2 linked regions of the Drosophila melanogaster genome follow. The gene in region 2 interacts genetically with the main gene of each other region. Each region holds a gene or a part of one and is shown on either strand. Other genes may lie near its edges.

The links.
Region 1: of upd3 (region 2) and Tnks, changing one suppresses a phenotype caused by changing the other (phenotypic suppression), as found in Drosophila melanogaster (one study listed by BioGRID).

What each region holds. Positions count from the first base shown.
Region 1 is NT_033777.3:25,658,278-25,663,120, forward strand, and holds the start of Tnks (tankyrase), read right to left. Parts: upstream 3,010-4,843; 5' UTR 2,511-3,009; coding exon 2,315-2,510; intron 1-2,314. Other genes in the region: RASSF8 (Ras association domain family member 8), read left to right, coding at 4,138-4,209, 4,357-4,730. UniProt on the Drosophila melanogaster protein: Stimulates proteasome activity, probably by ADP-ribosylation of PI31. Modulates 26S proteasome assembly.
Region 2 is NC_004354.4:18,275,473-18,283,282, reverse strand, and holds the start of upd3 (unpaired 3), read right to left. Parts: upstream 6,051-7,810; 5' UTR 5,681-6,050; coding exon 5,678-5,680; intron 3,850-5,677; coding exon 3,400-3,849; intron 3,298-3,399; coding exon 3,100-3,297; intron 1-3,099.

The DNA.
Region 1 (4,843 bases), on a different chromosome or scaffold from region 2:
GTCTTGCCTTCGGGGATTTCAACCTTGTCCATGGCATACGAAAAGAAAGATATGTTTTCCGCATTTGCAGAACTGTTGCCCAAGGAAATCTCAAAAAAGTTTACATTAGCTTATGTTCAGTTGAAAGTAAACCTTACAATTAAATGATAAATAATCAAAATAAGTCGCATAATAATCAATATAAACGGATGACAGTTGTGATGATCCAACCGAGCCCCCGATTTATAAACATACTTTTGGCAACTTTTGCATTGTCAATGCCAGAAATCTGAGTCATCTTAATAGGGTACCGTAATTGGTCACACCAGAGATGATCAACATAAAATAAATGTTTATGATCGTACTTATTGCTACGTTTATAATGAACTGCAAAGAGAACCGGATCGAATTACAAATCTGGGCAAACAAAAGCTTGAGCCACCCACCAAAAAGTGGTTTGCGAAACGTTTGTGCCGTTCACTTTTCTGTGGGCAAACAATTACGAAAGTTTTGCATTAAAAATTAATAGAATGGAAAACTTAATTCCAACTGTTGCACTTGGAGCGTCAAAGCGCCAATTGCTCGCCACTTGGAAGTGTGATCCTTGGGACTGTGAACAATATATGAATAAAAACTGAGATATATGTATGCAATTTCAACTTGATTTGCAACTACCACCCCGAAGGTTAATTTGCACAACTTTTTGGCCAGCGATAAACGTATGTTTTAAGTATCTCGAATATGGCCAAGATATGGAGGGGAAGGTCTCTCCGGGTTTATCGACTATATTTACTATATATATGTACACACACACACATAAATGCCATGATAACGGGCCAATGTCAGAAAATCTGATAGTCGCAAAGAAGCGAAGTAAAGCGATTGCGTTTTACTATGTGTCACGATTGCGGGAAAGGAAGGAGGAAACGTGAGCTCCGTTTTGGTTTCCACCGCAACAGGTATTGTAAAACTTCGAGTGGCCAAAAATGTCATACATTCAACGAGGTGAAAAGCAGCCGCAATAAAATATATATAACTTAAACGCCACCCGACAATAACAGACCCCTCGAAGATCTCACTTTTTGTGCACAGAACGTGACAAAAAGACAGACGAACATAATAATGGAAAACCAGTTTATAGAAAGAAAGAAAGACCCACCGCCAGATAATAAAAAGTGCTCAAAACTTAAAAAAAAAAAGAAGTCACAAATGGCCAAAAGGCGAAATTGATATGCAAGGGGCGTCGAGTGAAACGGTTAGAAAAGCTTGATGGCATTTTTGGGGTATTGTTCGAAAGGGGTGAATGTGGATGGGGGATGGGGAAGGGAAAGACGTTTCTTTCCACTTTTGATTCGATGCTGCCGACTGACTAAATAAATCGCAATGCATAAAATGCTAACTAGGCCAAAGTCACAACAAAAGACGCGAAAATATTGAGCCAAAGACGTCAGCAGGATGGCGCATACAACGCAGCAGCCACAACAAGTCGCCCCACTGCCCACTGCCCCGCCCACCGCCCACTATCACTGTCACCCCCACAAAAACAGACACAATAGCAGTCGAAATAATAGTTAAAAAACATGCATGCTTGTATTACGAAGGATTAATCATTTGATCACTCACAGTTGAAAAATGTAAATAAAATAAATATGTTAGCACGAGTTATTTTGTTTACCCAATCTAATATTTAAAGGCCAAGCATCTAACTAAACCCTGCGAAACAGGTTAGCTATACAATCAGACCATATGTTGCAGACCTTTATCTATGGGATTCTACGTGTAAACAAACAAAGCTAATCAGATGATATATGTGTGTTAAACATTCAATTTCCAGTGCTGAGACAGTGAAAGCTCTCATTGAAATGGCTAATTATGCAGTGCTATTATCTCGACCGCAGCTGTATGAGTCTTTTTTGAAAATAGAAAATGCTTAAATGCAGCACGCACGCACACATGCAGCGGCAAAAGGGGCAGCACGGGGGATTCCCCTTTTGAGAGGGGGTCTTCCGGAAACAAGCCAAACATATAGAACACATAGAACGGTGGTGGAAGGAGAAGCAGAAGCAGAAGAGGAGGCAGAGCCAAAAGCAGAAGCGACATGGAAACTAGGTCAACTCTCGACGCCATTGGAGCAGGCGAGTGTCCGACCGAGAGCGACGACAATGACGCCCGTCACACCCAGGCGCAACTAGCTCAAGGCCAAATCCGCACTGCAGCGGGGGGTTTGGGCGAGTCCTTCAACCTTTCGTTGGGCGAATGGTGGGGTGGGCTGCCGTTTTTAGACCGTCCTTGGAAGGGATTTGGATGGGATCTAACCGCATCGCATCTCACTTACCCGCTGCGAAATGCAATGGTGTGGATTTGCGTCCCGCCGTATCCCTGGCGTTCACGGTCTGAGGCGTTATTAGCTTCTTCACCTTGGCGATCTCGCCCGTTTTGCAGGCCTCGAAGAGCTCCCTCAGCGGATCGTTGGCCATGACCGCATCGAGATTAACGCTCAAAATGGCCCGACTTCGGCTGCTGTTGGCCATTGTTGTGCTTGTTTGCTACGCTTTGGCACACACACGCCCCGAAAAAAATAGGCAACAAAAAACAAGCGCAATATTCAGTGGGCTTTCGGGTTTTCCACTCCCAGTCCAGTTCTCTCCTCCAGCAGTTGCTCTGCCCGTCCTACACAAGCCTCGCCGTTGTCCGTCGCTGGCTTGCCCGCATCCTGTATCCAGGTGTCCTGCCTATGCCGCAGGAGCAACAATTTGCCACTGGCTGCCACGCGACCAGCCCTCGTTTTTGCTTAATATTTAATGCACAATTGCAGACCCAAAATCAATAGGATTTCTTTGGTTCGACACAGCACGGTTGCAAGGATCGCGGTTGGCTACGATTCGTTTTTACTGAGACTGCGACCAACTCTGGGACTAGCTCCCTGGTACTTGGCCTCCAAAGCTCTGGGCACGGACGATTATTTCCGGATTAATTCACTGCTCCGCGAAATATTGCATTGTTTTGTGACCGAGTAAGAGTGACCGTTCGCGGGGTGGTCGAATATTCCAGGTTGAGTCAAGCGGTGTGACCAGGCGACGGGGCAAGCCATTCTGAAAAAATACTGAAGTCCTCGAATCACATAAGCTTTTCCATTAATTATATTTTTTAAATTTAATAGCTTATGTTCTCACAAGGTTTTACACAAATTTGTGCTTCAGTGTGCACTCACTATTTGGTGAAAAGCGAAAAGACGTTTGCATCTATATTGTGTTATAAGAAACAATTTTTTTTGTTAACCAAATAGACAATATTCAATTGGTGGTACAAAAATTAAGATCATCATTTTTATGAGCTTAAATTAGAATTCTTAAATTAGAAAAGGCCATGTAGGAATTTCAATTATCCTAATATAAGCACATAAGCCTATTACTAGGGAAAAAATCTCAAAAAAATTTTTTAAAATAATAGCAAGTACCTGTTACAACAACATGCAATCCCAATTGGCATTGCTATCGATAGCTTGAAAAACACCTGTTTGGCCATCCCTGGTTGGCTGTTGGTGCAATCGATTTTTGGCATCGACTGGATGCCCATGCCAACAACAATGTTTGCTTTTAAAATTTAGATTAAATCCGTTAAAAATCCGTGAAATCAAAACAAAAGCAGTGGAGCTGCTTCACAACAAGATTATCGTGCTTACTAGAAAGTGAAGAACCACGGAGTTACCGCGCCGGAAGTACAAAAGTAATCACCAAATCGGAAATCCGAAAAGTGAATCAGAATTTTTCTAGCTCACACACACACGCGCGCATACCCGCACGCCCAGCAAACACTCATGCAAGCGTATGGAACCAGTCGTGTTGTTGTTGTTGCTGTGAATAAGTGCAAGTGAAGAAGAAGCAGAAACTGTGATCGGAAAATTAAGCAAAAAAGAAAAACAGGCGAGGAAAAGTGGGGTTGGGGAAAAGCAGACGGAAAAGTGGAAAGGCGGAGTGCAGCTAACACGCTTCGCTGGCTGCGCGACAGCAGAACGCCAGTCAAGCGCCAAAAACCATTAGTAGAACCCCATTTCCAGCTGGAGCGGCACAAGAAAGCAATTTTCTGGTAGCAGAAACACCAAGAAACGAAAATAATTGGCCGATCTTTAGAGACTCGACTCGACGACAATTAGCCGGAATGGAGCTGAAAGTTTGGGTCGAGGGCATCCAGCGGATAGTTTGCGGCGTTACAGTGAACACCACATGTCAGGTATGTGAGCTACAGCAGAGGTCAAAATAATAGCACTATTATCTTGTTAAAGCATTTTACACTGCTGCAGTGCTGTTAATGTGACCCGAACTGTATGCGCTCTGTTTGCTAGTCAGTTTGCCCTAATTATCGTTTTATTTTCCACAGGATGTGGTTTTTGCTTTGGCCCATGCCACTGGAAAAGTGGGCAGATTCACTTTAATCGAAAGGTGGCGCAATAACGAACGCCACCTGGCCCCCAATGAGAATCCAATGAAGCTGCTGCTCAAATGGGGCGAGTATGCAAATGATGTGCAGTTTATATTACAACGTTCGGAAAACAAAACACAGCAGCAGCAGCAGCAACAACAACAGCAGCAGCAGAACAATAATAATAATAACAACTATGCTGTGATGACAACAACAAAAAAGCCGCTGGGGCCGAACAACAATAACAATAATAAGCCAGCGCCCACTTTGCTAAAGCAAAAGTCGAACGTCGAACTCAGCTACCGCACAAAGGAATTGAAAAAAAGTTTCGGGTGGGTGGTTTTTATATGCTAGTTAGTTTGGAAACTACCCCTTAAAGCGCTTACCTAGCCCTAATTGTTAATAGGCTAACAAACTGTGTTTAAATATGCACCTGTGCGGCTAC
Region 2 (7,810 bases):
GTTCTCTGTTGATAAGAATCTATGGATTCATATTTGTACACCCATTTTATATATACTAGTTTTTAGATTAAATTAAGTGCTCTATTTATATCATTAACTGTCCATGAACTTGTAAACTTATATATTCCCAACTTAATCATCATAGTTACCCCAACCCATATTGGAGATCAACTCCATAATCCTTGATTATATCAGCATAGAATTGAAAATAAAACAATTATATGGCAAAGTATGATATTTTTAAGTATTTAACGCCTTAATTACTTGTATCGCCATGAATGAAGGTCGGGGTTATCTTTATTGAATAAACCTTTTTCTGCACTCGCTTGCAATAAAAATCCCCAATTGTAAAATTAAAGTATTAGAAACGGCGAAACCTTGGCGGAAATTGCGATATCCATATCGCATATGGTGTATATAGTCGATCCTATAGTTCGAATTTTTTGGGTTGAGTGAACTGAGCCCACCAGCCCCTTTGCGGACCCCCCCCCCCCCCCCCTCCCATCGCACACACACTCCCCTCATCCCAACGACCAGAAACTTATCTGGCCGGCGGCTGAAAGTGAAAATCAAGCCGAACGCTCGCGCCGCTCTCTCGTAACTGTTTTTTGAGTTCTCGGCTACGCTTCGGCTGGCCGCTCGTGACGTCGACGTTGGCTCTTCGTTTCATTCATGTCGCGCTCGCCGCATGCCGCCGCTCACCCTTTCCCGCTCCCGCTCCCGCTCCCGCTCGCTCTCGCTGGAGTTTCGGGGGAATCCACGGCTCTGTTTCATATGAATCACATATCGCGTATACGCTCCGCGCCCCGTATCCCCCCGATCAACGACCACAAACGGCGTGTGTGTGTCATTTGCAATAAACGAGCGTTGTGAACTACTCAAACATATTATCGTTAAGGTCATTTCTTCTTCCGAACCGATCCGCTGCGGTATCAGCGAATTCGTTGTTTTCCTTTTTTTTTTTGGGTGGGTATGAGCGAATGCATGACGTCAAAAGGCCGTCGATTCTCGGTATCGAAACGATCCATCTAAATATAGAGTTCTTCTATCAGTCCCGTTTGCCACCTCGTCGTCGGATCGGGTTCCGATCTGGGGGTTCCGTTTCACTCTGTTCCGGGGATGTCAACAATTAGTTGGCACAATTGGCATTGACGTAGCCGATATTGGCCAAATATTGACACACATCCCGAGCGGCAAGTTCCCGAGCTTGGTGCAGAGTGAGAAAAGGTGGATCGACTGGTCGAATCGAGTAGTGTGTGATCAAAGGTATCTACTGAAAAACTCAACACGAAAGAGTACTTATAAGCAGCGAAGGCAGTCAATTGTTACCCTCATTTTCTCACAGTGTGATCCGCGAGGCCCAGGTACTTTTCCCAGACTATGACGACAATTGAGAAATTTCAGCGAAAGCCAAACTTTGCTCATCGCCCTGAATAGACGATTGAGTGGAATCGCTGGCTAAGTGAATGAATGGATGAAATGGAATGGCAACTATGATGGGACTGGCTAAGTTTAGCAGAACGGGTAATTAAAAAAAAAAATAAAAACCAAATTCCCAGGGGGTGGCGACCTTTGAGACTCCACTTGCACTCTGAACGCGACTTTTGGCTGACTCGAAGTGAGTCGGCGGTTTTCGCGGATCTTGACCACACTTGAGATTTTTCGCCGCACCTGCGATCTCATAAAAGTATCTGTTTATGGCCACGCCAAGTGAACTACACTCATCTGGTTATCTGCAGATATTACTGTCCTATACGAAACTTTCCCGGACACCAAGGAATTAGCACGTTGGGGCAACCAAGCCGATCTCGACCGATTCACGAAGCGACATCCACCTCATTGAAATGTGGACTAGACCCTTTCTAGTGCACGGCGTTTGTCATACTTGGTCACGTATCGACTGGTACTCCGTGGCAATCATTTCGCAAGTACCGCCATCCACATTCCGGAGCCCACATTCTATATTACTTCCATTACTTCCATTATTCACTGGCCTATCGGTCACTCCGGGTTTTTCCTCAACTGGTCTTGCTCATTTCACCGTGTCAGTGCGAAAATATTTCCGAATTCCCAGACCCCGACAATTTGGCATTACTAAACGGTTCCACTCTATTAACATCAAACTGTCCGCAACTCGAGGGTCTCGAAATTGAAAAGCTCCATAATTTTCCTCTCGCCATAATTCAGATGTCCGTGGCGAATCCAATTCGAAATTTGATTAGCTTCTGTTTGTTGTTGTTTACTTGTCAAAAGTGTAAATAAAATGTGCCGCTTGATTTTATTTTGTTTATTCAACAAATTATCCACTTCAGATACGAATTGAGATTCGGATTGAACTTCGTTTTCAGATTCAGATACAGCTTCAGCTTCAGCTTCAGCCTCAATTCGGATCGATCCAATCTACGGATTGGCCATAAAACGTGATCGCTGGATCAAGGCCGGTTTGGGGGGGATCGCGATGGATCTATATAAACAATAATCGAAAAAAAAAGCGCGCGCGCCGTCAATTTGCTCTTAATCTTAATGTGGTTATGGCATCGATTGCTAATGTTTTCCCTCGTGCTGTTGTTGTTTGCTACCAATGCAAATCGACGGTTAATGGGGCGTCCCGAAATGCCGGCTAATGCTGACAAAACGAACGAGGTGCGATCGAAAAGTTGGCGGCACTTAAGTGCTCAATGCAAGTTGCTGTTGGAAGTGTTGTCAAAACAACTCCATCATCAAGCTAGCACATATGAACTATATACATATCTCAATCTTTATTTCCTTAGTTTCCTTCATACCCCTCTATATAGATTGATAAATTCCCTTAATCACGCAAACAAACTATGGCAACAACTCTCGCGGCTGGCGGCACGATTCCCTCGGATTCGGACTCATATGACCGCTCCACTCGCCATTAGCTTGTGACGGCCTGTTTGCACCTACGCAGGTGAACGGGGCGAACGCCTCACGTGACCCTCTTTTTTATCACCTCAAGCTCCCTGGCAACAGAAGAACCCCCCGCGAGTGTTTGATGTTTGTAAATGATCCAGTAGTTCTTCACATGACGATATATGCATACATATATTATGCTTATGGCATATGGACGACACTCACCTGTTTGCTAGTGAGATTCAGACGGGGCAGGAATCTGTAGTTTCCCTTATAGAATCGCCACTTGTTCTTCTCGACAATGTCCAGAGTCTTGGTGCTCACTGTGGCCAGCTTGTCCGCATTGGTGGTGATCCTGGCCTTGTCCTCGGCCTGGATGCCCCGCAGCTCGCGGCCCGTTTGGTTCTGTAGATTCTGCAGGATCTGAAATAGATACAAATACATATATACATATAGATAATAGTGTGTGAATTAGTTGTGCCAATTTATTTATCAGCTAAGAGCCAACTTTCGCTTGAAACTTACCCTTTGGCGTTTCTTGCAGCGTTTCGCCTTGCTGTGCGTTTCGTTCAGACCCGTGGGCTTCAGATTGCAGGTGTTCTCCCAGTCCAGATGCGTACTGCTGGCATTCAATTTCTGCTGGAAGGTCAGCCGGAAGTTGGCCGCTCTGGAACGCTTCTGTAGGTGCTTCAGGGGATTGGTGGGATTGATGGGACTGGAGGGGCTGTCAGTGGGCGGGGTGGCCAGGTGACTGGGCGCCGCTGAGACGCCACAACCGCCGCCGGAGAGGGCAAACTGGGACATGGCCAAGGCGAGTAAGATCAGTGACCAGTTCCTGTTCAGGCGTCGTCGTCGATCCACGAACGGCGGTTGCGGCTGCGGTTCCACTGGATTCCTGGTTCTGGCCGTTTTGTTACCGCTCCGGCTACCGCTTCCGCTGCTCCTGCTGACGTCGAGCGGGCGGTCAGCTGTCGTCTGTGGATGGAAAAAGTTCCGAAATAAGCTAAACAAAATTTATACAAACACGCAAAGCCCTCAAGATAACACAGTTTCATTTTTTTCCCACCCATAATGGCTCGAGTTTCACTACGACTTCTTGACGTCACATCTTCGTCAGACGTCGTCGGTGTTTAGCATGAGAAAAGTCTAGCAACAGGTTATACTATTATTAGTTACCAAAAAAAAAAAAAAAAAAAAAAAATCAAATACGTATGTTCGATTTTCAGTTATTTACATACTCAAACTTTGGCCGAAAAGAGGGTTCGGTTGGCCAAATGTATTCCCCCTGCCGAGGGACCAATTACCATAAGTCAAGACTAACGGACGCTGCGCGGACAACTGAACTGAACCGACTGGTTATATATTATCTTGGCCAACTTTTGCCAAATATAAACCAAAATTCGCGCACGTGATGGTACGGATGTGTGATTGTGGTGCGATTGTTTTGTGTTATTTTGTGTGTGTTAGTGCCTGAGTGGGCGAATTATGATGATTGTTGGCTGCTTGGGGATTCCCGCTGGACGCACTTATGCGCAAACCCATACGCACACATATAAATATAATCGCAATTGTTTGGGGGGCCCGAAGCATGCGCGATTTGTTATTATTATCGTTTGCGCTTTAGCTACAGCTACGGCCATTGCTAGTGCCGTCTTTATCTGGCTGAAATAATTATTTCAAATTAAAAATAAATTTCTTTATTTAGCCAAATTATCATGAATCATCGTGTGTCGGGTGGAGGTCGACTTGCAAAGGTAGTGGTGATAGTGGTGCCACCGCACTGGCGGTGGCGGTGCTATCTCATATTGTCTGGTGGGGTAGGCTCCAATCGCTCCACACGCCTCCTACACATCGAGCAGCATGGTCAACGAAACATTGGTCTTGCAAACTTTTGTGAAATTCACTCTCTCTTGCCGTGCGTTTTCGCTCTCCGGCTCTTTATCGCGGTCCCTTTGCCCGGACCTTGTCCTCCTGTCTGTGCCGAATCGCTAACGCTTGTAGTGACAACCGCTGACGCATCCAATCTTCAATTCCTGCCAAACACCAGCAACACCAGCACCACCAGCACCACCAGCACCACCAGCACCACCAGCACCACCAGCACCACTGGCACCACCACCCCCGCGGCACGAAACGTGTAAATTAATTTCACATGTTTCGCTCTTTTTTTGGCCATTTTTCGTCAAAAGGGTTTTTTTTTACAGTTGCAATAACTATTAAGTTAGTTGCATAAGTTGTGTGGTTGAATGGAACAATAAGTTCCCAATAAGTTAGAATAGTAATAGCAAATAAATGCAAGTCGCCCCTGTACGATTAGTCATACTCATCCGAAAATAACGTCCATAGGTTTTCAAATAACTTTGGGTTTTTCATAATTGTAATAACTTTAAAATGCTATGATTCACATGTGGAAAAATGAACTTAACATATTGTGCATCATGAATTTATAACTTGTTTTCAATGCCTATCACCAAACAGTGTCAGTGATTCACGAATGAGTTTCCCCCATGAGAGGCTGGAGATGATGGTCCCTTTCGGTTGTGAGCCCTATCCCCATCTCCAATCCCTAAACCCATCACACCTCCTCCTTGGGGCCAATTTCATCATGTGTGGGGTACGTGACACCTCACCTGACCATTGCAGCTCTTGGCAAGAACTCTGCGGGTTCAGAAGTATCGAGCGAAAGACACCTGTACCTATCAACAAACCGAGCACGCACAGGTGAATTCTCTTATCGGCAGCAGAAAAGGCAAATATAAAATCCCCGAAAAAATACGCGCCTGCGGTAGTTACTTGTACTTACCATTTACATAAAAATCGTTGGCTGGGAATTCCGCACAAAAATTCGTACTTGATTGACACGCACTTTGCTTTTGTAACGCTGTTAGTCTTTTCTTTGTGTGTATTTGCCGGAAAGAAGCTTCCAGAATGCAACGGGGAAAAAAACGAAAAAAAAAACTAACCAATAATAAAAGCGATCGCGATTTGGCGAATTTGGCGAATCAGGCGAATCAGGCGACTTTGTCGAATTTGTTGAATTTGTTGAATTTGGCTGCGTATCTTTGTATCTTTATATCGCGGCTGGACGAACTATCGCGTTAAGTGTCGACGCGCTGCCTTCGACTGTCTGCTATGATTTGATTCCGATTCGATCGAAGTCGAAGTCAACAGCGCTGTCGATTTCTTGCCGCTGGAGAGCGTGGAGTGGAGTGTTGTGGAGTGGATTGGAGTGGCTTTCTCGCCGTCTTTGCGTTGTTTTTTTGTACAATTTTTGCAGTAGCGTTTCTTCACTTTTTTTTCGCCTTTTCGCGTGCAGTGGTTATGTGTGTATATATATTTAGTTTTTTGTTTTTGTGGCCGGCGGAGACTGACTGAACTCCTCAGTTACTATGAGCATACTAATGAGGAGGCGGACGCCCAGTCCGCCGGTCATGTTCGCTCCGCTCGAATCGCCAAAGAAGCGGAAGAGAGACAGGGAGAGGCTCTCTCGGCTGTCATGAGTGTGCAATCGCAAGAAAAGCGCTCAAAACATTCGCCGAGTGCCAAAAACAACGCGAGAAAGCCATAAAAAAGCACAGCTGAGCGATAAAAAAAAACAAAAACGACTCATAGCGGCTGGGTGTGGACAATGGGTTACCCTGTACCCAGGGTACTAGCAACTAGGAGCAATAAGATACGCTGAAGAAAGCATGGAAAAAAGCAGAAGAAAAGTATAACTTTAACTAACTTTAGTTAACTTTAATAATACTAAATATGAGAGATAACATCTAAACTAGGCAACAACAAGTACAATCATCCAATAGCTATTCGATTGAGACCAATATTTGGTTAGTGAACTAGTAACAAATGTCATAAATATTCTATATTACGGCCATTCCGAACATAATAGATTTATTACCAATATTACCCAGTCGTAATGGGCGTGAAAAATACAAACGTTTAGTGAATGATTAGGCCAGCTAGATTTCAACACGATGAGAAATACTCACAGCTCTCCAGCGCTCCCCTTTGGGGGATGACACATAATCGGCGCACTGGAGTGGAGTGATTGATCGATTCGTCGACTGGGCCGATCTCCACCAGATAAGGTCGCTGGGAGAGCTATTCACTGTCTCTCCCGCTCGCAGATAAACAAAACATGTGTAATTTGCCTATTTGCCGGTCTCTGGGGAACGAAATGAGCGGCTACTTGGCTCTTATCGAATGACTTTCACTCGGCACACACTTCCGATTCACCGTTTCTCCGGATCTCCCGTTCTCCGATTTCGATTCCGAGACGATCGTTTCCGATCCGAAGCGAAACGATCCATTCCGTTCCGTTTTGTTCCGTTCCGAAGTAACCCCCGCAAATAGTCGGCAATTTATGGGGGTTGGCATGAATTTCAGTTATTTCCGTTCAATTTCACAAGAATATTACTCATACGCTCCGTCGGCCGCCGACAGCCGTCAATGACGACACGATTTGTTCAACCGCGAGCCGGGCTCTCACGCTCGCAGACACGGCGATTCATTCATGATTGCCGACTACGCTCCACCGGTCGACAGAATGCGGATGCCGAGAGGGGGTAGGCGCAACTGCGGGGTGGCGGTCTAAATTTCACCGCGCGCCAAAACCATGATCAATCGAAAAGTAATTGAGCACTCATCGTTACTCATGGCCAAAGTGGCGACGTCTCCGTTTTGTCGTTTACCGTTTACGGTTCACGCTTTGCCGCGTACCATGTACCGTGTACCGCTCACTGCCACTGCCACTCCCACTCGCCGTCGGCCGCCCAACGCCCACCGCTGGCGGCCAAACTTACGGATGGTGATCGGTGTCATGATTTGGCCGAGCTATTTTTAAACCATTGTACGAGGCACACTGGTACGGATCGGGTAACTGCTGCTTTTGATTTCGGCTTATCGTGTTGATCTGTCCAATTGGCGGATATTTCGA